Oryzias latipes: one gene and its partner. The protein of the gene in region 1 purifies or fractionates together with the protein of each later gene. This does not show direct contact. Links are inferred from orthologs where the notes say so. Each region holds a gene or a part of one and is shown on either strand. Other genes may lie near its edges.

Region 1 (4,246 bases):
CAGAGTGCAGCCTCCAGGGTGGAGGAGCTGGAAGACCTCCTCCAGAGGAGGAACTCTGAGGTGGAAGCCCTGCAGCTGGTGGTGGAGCAGACTCAAAGCTGGGCCCAGGACCTCCAGCAGAAGGTCTCTGATCTGGAGGACAGGCTGAGGGAGAAGGTGGCAGAAGCTCTGGTCAGCCAGGCCACTCTGGAGGCTTTCCAGCAGCACCAGCAGGAGGAGACGCCCGCAGAGGAGCTGCAGAGGAGCACCCACATGCTCGCCCTCCAGCTGCCCAGCCTCCCCCCACTGGGATTCAGCGGACCACACCAAGCACCGCAGATGCCCACGGGGAAGCTGGCCCGTCTGACGCAGAAGCTCCTGGACCTGGAGGAGGGACTCGGCGCCATGCAGAAGGACCAGGAGCTCCAGAAGGAGCTGCTCTCCAGCTCCGAGGAGGAGGTCGACCAGTACGAGAGGAGGCTGGGCGAGCTGATGGACCTGCTGAGTCAGATGACCCGCCGGAGGACATCTGCAGAGGTGAGCTGAGGATCCCACACAGACGTTATGCTGAATCAGCAGTTTGAGAGCAGGAGGACGTTCAGAGAAAAGCTGCACAGATTTGGAGGAACTTCAGATGATTTTTAGTTCAAAGCTGGGAGGAAAGCCTCTCGTCCCGGCTGCCCTTACGGGGGATTTGGGGTGCGAGCCTCACTCTACCGCGGTCCATCAGATCCAGTCAGATCCAGTCCTCACACCTCACTAACCACAGCGTGAGGCGTAAGGACGCCGTAGGCAGCTGTCATTATCCTTACCAGTACTTCACAGACACCCACCACACGCACTACAATGGTACGGCCCATTTTCAGGACCCCCCTAAAGTGGTGGTACGAGCCTGAAGGGACCACCTCCCCTCCCCTTAAGATGCAGCCGCTCCTCTCTAGGACCAGCTGTTTCTGAAACCCACCTGCAGGTGTTTTCACGCCCACTCCTGGACTTTCCTTCCGTCAGATTCCTCCTCCTGTTTTCTGATCTGAAGCTCTGCAGGTTTTCAGAAACTCTCCTGTTTTCCTCAGACCCCCTCTGACGATCAGCCACCTCCATCCGACCTCCTGCAGGAGCTTCAGGAGGTCAAGTCGGAGGCTTCAGCCGCCACAGACGAGCTGGAGAAGTACACGGAGGTGTGCAGGAGGCTGGAGCAGGACCTCCGAGTACGTGACGTCTCCTCCATCATTCTGACCTTCTGATCTTCTCTAGAAATGAACCAAAGCTTTTTGTTTCCAGGAAAAGTCTTCTACAATCCAAACTCTGCAGGTCCAAATTCAGCAGGTAAGATGAGAGCGCACGTGAGAGCGCACGTGTGGCCCGCTGCAGCAGCAGAAAGCCATGTTTGATGCTGCCCTCTTGTGACTGCAGAGCGGCTCACAGTCTGCAGAGCCTGGAGTCTGTGAGCGGAAGCTGCTGGAAGCAGAAGCAGAAGCCGCCGCCGCCAAAGAAGAGCTGAGCAGCAGCAGAGAACGTCTGGAGAAGCTGCAGGAGCTGCTGCAGGTCGGTAACCACGGCAACGCCGCGGAAGCTCTGCCATGACGTCGCCAGAGATGATCAGTAAAACTGACGAGAATCCGAGTTTCTGCTGATTCACTGTTCAGCCGGATTCTTCACCTGAGGATTGATGAGTCTGAACAAAACAAATCCTGTTTTTATTTCAGGAGCGAGAAATGACCATCGCTCACCTGAAAGGAGAACTTCTCCAGGTACGTGAGGAACCTCTTCCCGGTCTTCGGCCGGTTTCTCCTGAAGCGACTCTTTGGTTGATGAGCTGGTTTGGTTCTGCAGGTGAAAGCCTCGGGAGACGCCGCTGACACCGCGAAGCTCTTCCAGGAGCTTCAGGAGGTCAAAACGCAGGCGGCGTCCAGCAGAGAAGAGCTGAGCTTTTACCGGACGCACAGCGAGAAGCTTCAGGAGGACCTCAGAGCCACGGAGGCTTCTGCTGCCAGGCTCGGCGAGGAGCTCCAGGAGCTGAGGAGGAACGTGAACGCCACCAAAGAGGAACTCAGCGGCTGCAGGCTGAGGAACCAGACGCTGCTGGAGGACCTTCACAGCCGAGAGACGTCCATTTCCAGTCTGAAGGAGCAGCTCCAGGAGGCGCAAACAGCTTTGATGAAGACCACAGGGTCTGGCTCTCTGTCCCTCTCCCCATCTCCTCAGCCTAGCTCCTCCTCCTCCTCCTCCTCCTCTCAGCCCAAAAGAAAAGGAGGCAAACAGCTGGCTGGGAAGGTCAGCAGCACCAAAGACAAGCTCTCAGCCACCAGGAAGAACTCTGCTGCTTCCAGCACGCCGTCCGCCAAATCCCCCAGCCCTCAGCCAAGAACCTGCTCAGAGGAGCAGCCCTCCACCGCCGTGACCTCCTTCACCCAGACTGAAGCTCTGCCCGCTCCTGAGCCCAGGGCAGCTGCCACGGAGGAGGTGGAGGAGGTGATCGGACAGTTCCAGGAGAAGATCGACCAGATGCAGGAGCTCCACGCCGCAGAAATCCTGGACATGGAGGCGCGGCACATCGCCGAGAGCGAGAACCTGCGCAGGGACCTGCAGGCACTGGAGGCCGAGTGCAAAGCTCTGAAAGCTGTGATTGACGAGCTGCGCTCTGCCCAGGTGACAGCAGGAGGAAGACGATGAAGATGATGATGATGGGCACTACTCCACGCTTCCTCTGACCCTCTGTCTGTCTCTTTAGGCTCCGGCTTCACGGCAGGACCGCCCCGCTTCACTGTTCAAAGACGGGTACACCAGCGGTGAGTCTGTAGAAAAACCTGCAGCTGGGTTTCTGTTCCGTTTCTGAACGTCTGTCTCCCAGCAGACAGCAGCTCTGACTACAGCCAGAGGACGGGCTTGGGGCTCCTGCAGCAGGAGCTCAGGACCACCCCAGAGGGGGCCGGGAGGGAGGCTGAAGACCCGCTGCCGGACAGGATTAAGGTACGCCGTGTTCTCCTGCAGACGCCGTCACAGCGCTCCTCCTCATGTTCTCCTCCTGCTCTCTGCAGTCCTTGATCCGTGAGGTCCACCAGGAGGGCATGCAGGTCCTGTCCCTGTCCGAGCTGCCCCTGTCTGAGGGCCAAGCAGCACGCCACGGCGGCGTTCCAGGCTGGCAGAAAGAGAGGGACGCCGTCCTGGCCACGCTGGAGTCCTTCAAAGCCGTCGTCGCTCAGGCGCAGGTACGGGAACCTCTTCTGAGAGTCCAGCGGCTCTTCCCTGCAGACGGTTGATCTGATCCTCCTGCTGCAGATGGCGAGCGGCGCAGACTGGCGAGCGGACCTGCTGGACGCAGTGAGGCAGGTGTTTGAGAGGCAGAGGAGCGTGCTGAAGAGCGCCTGGTTCAGCCAGCTGGGTCTGCTGGACACCAGTGACGCCGTCGTCCATCTGAACCAGCTGGAGCTCAGACTGGATGAACAGGTGACGCGCCGGACCCGCACGCCGCTTCTGAGGACGTGTTGGTTTACTCTAGAAAAGCCTGAAATGTTTGTCCCAGCATCTGAACCCGTTTGGATCCTAACGTGCTGGTTCTGGTGCAGGACGCGCGGCACAGAGACGCCATGGCGGCCCTCCTCACCGCAGAAAGAGCCAGTCTGCTGTCGGAGATTCAGCAGCTTCAGAGTCGGCTGCAGCAGGAGGAGGGAGGAGCAGGCGGAGGAGCAGGCGGAGGAGCAGGCGGGCCGCGGCCGGAGGAGCTGCAGGCTGAACTGTGCCAGACCAGACTGGAGCTGGAGGCGGAGCTTAAGGTCCAGCAGAAACACCTGAGGGAGCTGGAGGGACTCAGGTGACTTCAGGATGAAATGAAGCTTGGAGTTCAGATTTACAGCGTTTTAAAGGAAAAGTTCTGATCTGAACAGAAAAGAAACAAACTTTAGGGACGTCTAACTGATCCCAATGCTTCTGTTAAGCGTTCCTACAATGATGCACATTAATATCTGCATGATGATATGATGCTGTTGTTAACTGCATGTAAAGAAAACGGCAGTAAAGATGAAAAACCTGCAGCTCAGTAAACAACAATCCAATCTAGAGGTTTTTCTGAGGATTCACAGACCAGAGTCAGAAAAATGAACCGATCTGACAACGGTTCTCCATGTGGACCAACCACAGAGTATGAAATATTCACGACTAAAATGCTGGATCGATTCTCCGCTTTGAGCCTCAGAAAAACAACAAGTTCATGAAACCTGTTTCTCTGGAAATAATGAGCGAGTTTCCACCGACAGGGCGGAGGTGTCGC
Region 2 (4,346 bases), on another chromosome or scaffold:
TATCATATTATTCTATAAAGCACGATAGCAGAGTGACTTCTATTGAGCTGTTTTAGTCTGGCATGAACGTCGTGTTGAGACAACCACTCCTCCAAAACAAACTAATGTTCTTACAGTGCCGTCCTGCCTCTTTTCTGATCTTATGGATTTACATTGATAGATTTGATCCAGATATTCAGCTGAAGGTAGGACAAGGATATCTGGAGGACAAGCCGTACACGGGACACCCTAGATGTACCCAGTGTAAATATAACAGAAGGAATATTTTGATTGATGGCAGAGAAATGGTCTAATGGGGTGTAGTATGAGGACATAACAGCCCCTCCCTCAGTACACAGTGCATACTTGTATGTGAAGCACTTTAAAATATTCTAGTTATTAAAAAAATGTGATCCAAAGCTGGTAATCAGTTGTTCAGTGTGAAGCGTCGTTATGCAGTAAACATGTCAACAGGTAAAACCATTAAAGTAGCTGGGAATTCAAAGAGACACCAGCTTTATAACTAATAATCAGTCACCACAGACCAAAAGCTATCCAACTACAACTCACCAGAAAAATGCATGCATAGTTAAGAACTTCACTTCCCAGCATGCCCTGCTGCTGTCACAAAAGGCAGAATCAGGCTGTTGGTTCTAGTTCAAATCTAGAGCTTTATGAAAGAATGAAGATTATAGAGATGCATTTTTAAACGTTTTTAAACCCGGAGGTCAGGTTAGTCATCTCTCTGGGGGCAGAAGACAAAAACCATAAAGTGGTTATGCAAGCAGCTGGCTCCACGCCATCAGGCCCGGCGGTCACGTGGAAGGAGGGCTGGATACAATTATTTACTCTCCTGGGTCCTGTTTCTGCCTGCAGAGCCCTGTCCTCTTCCAACGTTAAGGTGTGTTTTCAGTGGATTAACCTCAAGCAGAGCCCGCCTTCACAGGCTGATGGCAGCCTGGTGTATTTAATGGAGTTTGTAGTTAAACCATGATATCCACACGTGTTATTACACTTTAATGATAGTCATCAGTTTGAGCTCATCAAGTGAGGTGTGTAACGTTTGAAAGAATCCGTCAAAACTCTGCTGTGTTCACACCTGAACTGGGCTGAAAGCTAACAGCCCATTACTATAGCTCCATAACACAACAGAAGAGCAGCAAAGCCAGTGGGGGTTTTCTATAGAACCACCCACACTAGATCTTCAGCAGCATGTTCCTGATACAAAAGGCAACATTGCCCTCAGAACAGAAGTACAACTAAGGTAGAAGTGTGCTGATTGGCTGCTGATCATCATCACCGCAGAAATAAAAACAAGACATGTCAGCTTCTTCCTGCAGATAATCCGCTGTGGCTCTTTGTTTACTGCCTGTTCCTCTTTGCAGATTTGTTGTCTGGTACTATGAAGGGGAAATCATAAACGCTGAACATTACTAATGTCTGCAAATCAAAAGGGCCACACATAAAGGCTCAAACGGATAAACTTCTTACTGAGAAGGTTTCTGGAATGACCTCCACATGTCTACGGTGGAGTCAACAGTCACAACAACATTTTTACCTCCATGGAGGCTTTTCCTTGACCTCACTGTGAAATGTTCTGGAGTCACTAAAAAGCAGGAACCAGACGTAAACGGAAGGAGCTTTGAAATGCCAACGTATGAAAGTCACGGTCATGTGCTGCTTCTCCAACACCCATCTGATTTTATTTGGATACAGTCAAATGTGTGGAGGAGAATAACTGACAGTCAGATACGTCCACATTATATCGTAATGTCTTTTCTGAGTGGAGATCTTCAGCTGTGAAAATGGTCTCGATCCAAAACTCAGGATTGTTTTTTTATTTACACAGTTTTATTGTTAAGAGCTGAATGTCAGACTCCAGCTATGCTGTTGCTGCTGAATACAAGTACAACTAGAAACATAATCCAATCCCAGACTGTAACCATTAGCAAACAATACGATGTCATAGATGGGATCAGGAAACAGACAGACAGCTGGATGTAAAGAAACCTTTGCCTGGTGGACGTTGGGCCTTCCTGATTATATCTGGACAGACAGACAGGACGCTTCCTTATAGAGTAAATGTGTTTCAGGTAAATCCACAACAGAAACACAAGAACACATGCATAAATGAACGGAAGTGTTTCGTTTAAGGACATGATGAAGCCTCGGTTTCTGAGTCCTTCAGAAACACACAGACAGACAGACAGACGGACAGACGGACAGACGGACAGACAGGGCCTCGTCCCAGAACTGCGTCCTTATAACCGGTCCAGTTCCACCATCGGTACGCTAAGCCGTCACAAAACGTCAAAGACCAAATCTTCAGAGTTTAACAGGAAGAATTCTGAACATCTCGGACTAAATGCTGCTTCAGACAACAGCCGAGTCTGCTAGCCTCTTAGCTAATGCTGCTAACAGCTGATCGTCGCTGAGCCGTTCAGGACACCCCGGAAAGAAGTCAGACCAGCCGCCCGACTCCCCTGATCGGCAGGTAGGGACCAGACCACGGCGTTTCCGTCACAACATACCCAGGTAGATGTCTCCAAACGAGCCGCTTCCAATTTTTCTGCCCAGTCTGTATCGGTTTCCAACTCTTAACTCCATGGTGAAGGTTCTGTGGTCAACCAGCTCTCTCTGAAAACGTTCAGACCTAAAGCACTTGGCAGTAAATCAAATAAAAAACAAAGAAAAGCGGGAACGAGCAGCGGCGGCGGGTTTCTGCCCAAAATCCGTTCCCCGGTGAGCAGTATGTATCCGGATGAAGACGGCTTCCAACAACAATCTTTCGCCTTCGCTTTTAAAATGTTACAAACGTCATATCGTGACAATACAGCGCTTTCTAGAAAGCTTAAAGTGTCCACGTTATGCTCGTGATGTCTTTTAGGTCGATAAAAGCTAAATTTCCGAGGATGACAACGGATTTTGGACAGAGTCTGGCGTCGCTGTGGGTCTCCCGCGTCCTGTGGCGCTGCTGTGAGCAGAACTCAGCAATCTGCTCCGCTCTGACGTCACTTCCGGTCCAGAGGAGCGGGGGGGGGGGGGCAGTTTGAAAGGTGTCGAGTTCCAAGCAGACAGCAGCAAAACAGCGGTTTGAATATAAGACACTGAAATAATTATAGAGATGACAAAATATGATTTTAATGCAACAATTGATACACAGATTATACAGATTAAAGTATTCTGTAATCACACTTTGAAATTAAAACAGGAACTATTTTTGTTACATTGATAAATAAATATTTTGATCTGAAAATGCATTTGAATTTTTTTTTTACTGCTTCTTCTTTTTCATTCTGCTGCTGCCTTTAGGGGGCGCCAAAGAAAATCATCGGACTCCGTCCAACCTTCTCTGCATCCTCCTCTCCATCCATGACCCTCCTCTTTGGTCTTCCTCTCTTTCCTGGCAGCTCCAGCCTCAGCATCCTTTCACCATCATCATCACTGTTCTTCCTCTTAAACATCTCCATCTGCTTGGATCTCCAGAACATCTGTGATCCGATCCTCTGATGGATCCATTCCTGATCCATCCTGGTCCCACAGAGAACCTCAGCATCTTCCTCTCTGCTGCCTCCAGCTCTTCCTCCTGACTCTGTGTCTGAACCGGGGGTCTCCACCGTGAGCCTCACGCGGCGCTTTTATTCCACTATTGTGGCTCTCTGACTTTGAAGAAAAATACAAACGATTTGAATAAATGTTGGCATTTATTTTAAGATTTTTTAACTGAGGTGAACTTCCATTAGCAGAATAAACTCTACTTATATTAAACCACTGCTGGGAGTTGCCATACTAAGAGGCTTGTGTGTCTAACCTCGTCTCTCAGTCTGTCCATCACCAAAGAAACAAGAAGGCGCTCAAAGCTGATCCTTGGCGTAGTCCCACCTCCATCTTCTCTTCTCTTGTCTCCCGGTTGTTCTGAAGATCTCCAACATTCTTCTCTGTCCCTGCAGACTTCTTCATCCAAACCACAGCTCTGCTCTCGTTTTCTGAAAAGACAACCAAACCACACTATTCCTACTTCAGGTTAGAAAATCTTTTTACTTTTGTTGGTTTAATGAGGCGATTGATTTTCCTAAATCCCATTGCTTTTACTGGCTGCATTTTTTATACATTTGTAATAGATTTTATTAAAATGTTCATGAATTACTTGATTAGAAATCCTATTTATTAGATGTTCTTTTTTATTTATACTGAAATTGATCACAGATTGTACTATAAGACACTCCTAGTCTTCCACACGTCACCTACAGTCAAAGAAGCTCATCCTGTCATGTTGCCTTGCATGAATGAGCTGTAGCATTTTACATCAGAATCTGGAAATGCATGTTAATAAACAGGGTTAACCTTCTACATAGTTCTTTACAATA

What was found. Proteins that work in one complex are often made in the same cells at the same time.
Region 2: the proteins of akap9 (region 1) and csnk1d purify together in Homo sapiens (affinity purification with mass spectrometry; 4 studies listed by BioGRID and IntAct, counting the BioPlex papers as one, with this or other methods). This does not show direct contact. The link is inferred for Oryzias latipes from reciprocal best matches to the Homo sapiens genes AKAP9 and CSNK1D.

The regions. Positions count from the first base shown.
Region 1 is NC_019869.2:411,806-416,051, forward strand, and holds part of akap9 (A-kinase anchor protein 9), read left to right. Parts: coding exon 1-516; intron 517-1,052; coding exon 1,053-1,187; intron 1,188-1,260; coding exon 1,261-1,305; intron 1,306-1,392; coding exon 1,393-1,524; intron 1,525-1,685; coding exon 1,686-1,730; intron 1,731-1,812; coding exon 1,813-2,628; intron 2,629-2,710; coding exon 2,711-2,768; intron 2,769-2,830; coding exon 2,831-2,949; intron 2,950-3,017; coding exon 3,018-3,188; intron 3,189-3,258; coding exon 3,259-3,426; intron 3,427-3,545; coding exon 3,546-3,790; intron 3,791-4,232; coding exon 4,233-4,246. UniProt on the Homo sapiens protein: Scaffolding protein that assembles several protein kinases and phosphatases on the centrosome and Golgi apparatus. Required to maintain the integrity of the Golgi apparatus. Required for microtubule nucleation at the cis-side of the Golgi apparatus.
Region 2 is NC_019866.2:24,956,547-24,960,892, forward strand, and holds the start of csnk1d (casein kinase I), read right to left. Parts: upstream 2,979-4,346; 5' UTR 2,587-2,978; coding exon 2,511-2,586; exon of another isoform or gene 1-2,510. UniProt on the Homo sapiens protein: Essential serine/threonine-protein kinase that regulates diverse cellular growth and survival processes including Wnt signaling, DNA repair and circadian rhythms. It can phosphorylate a large number of proteins.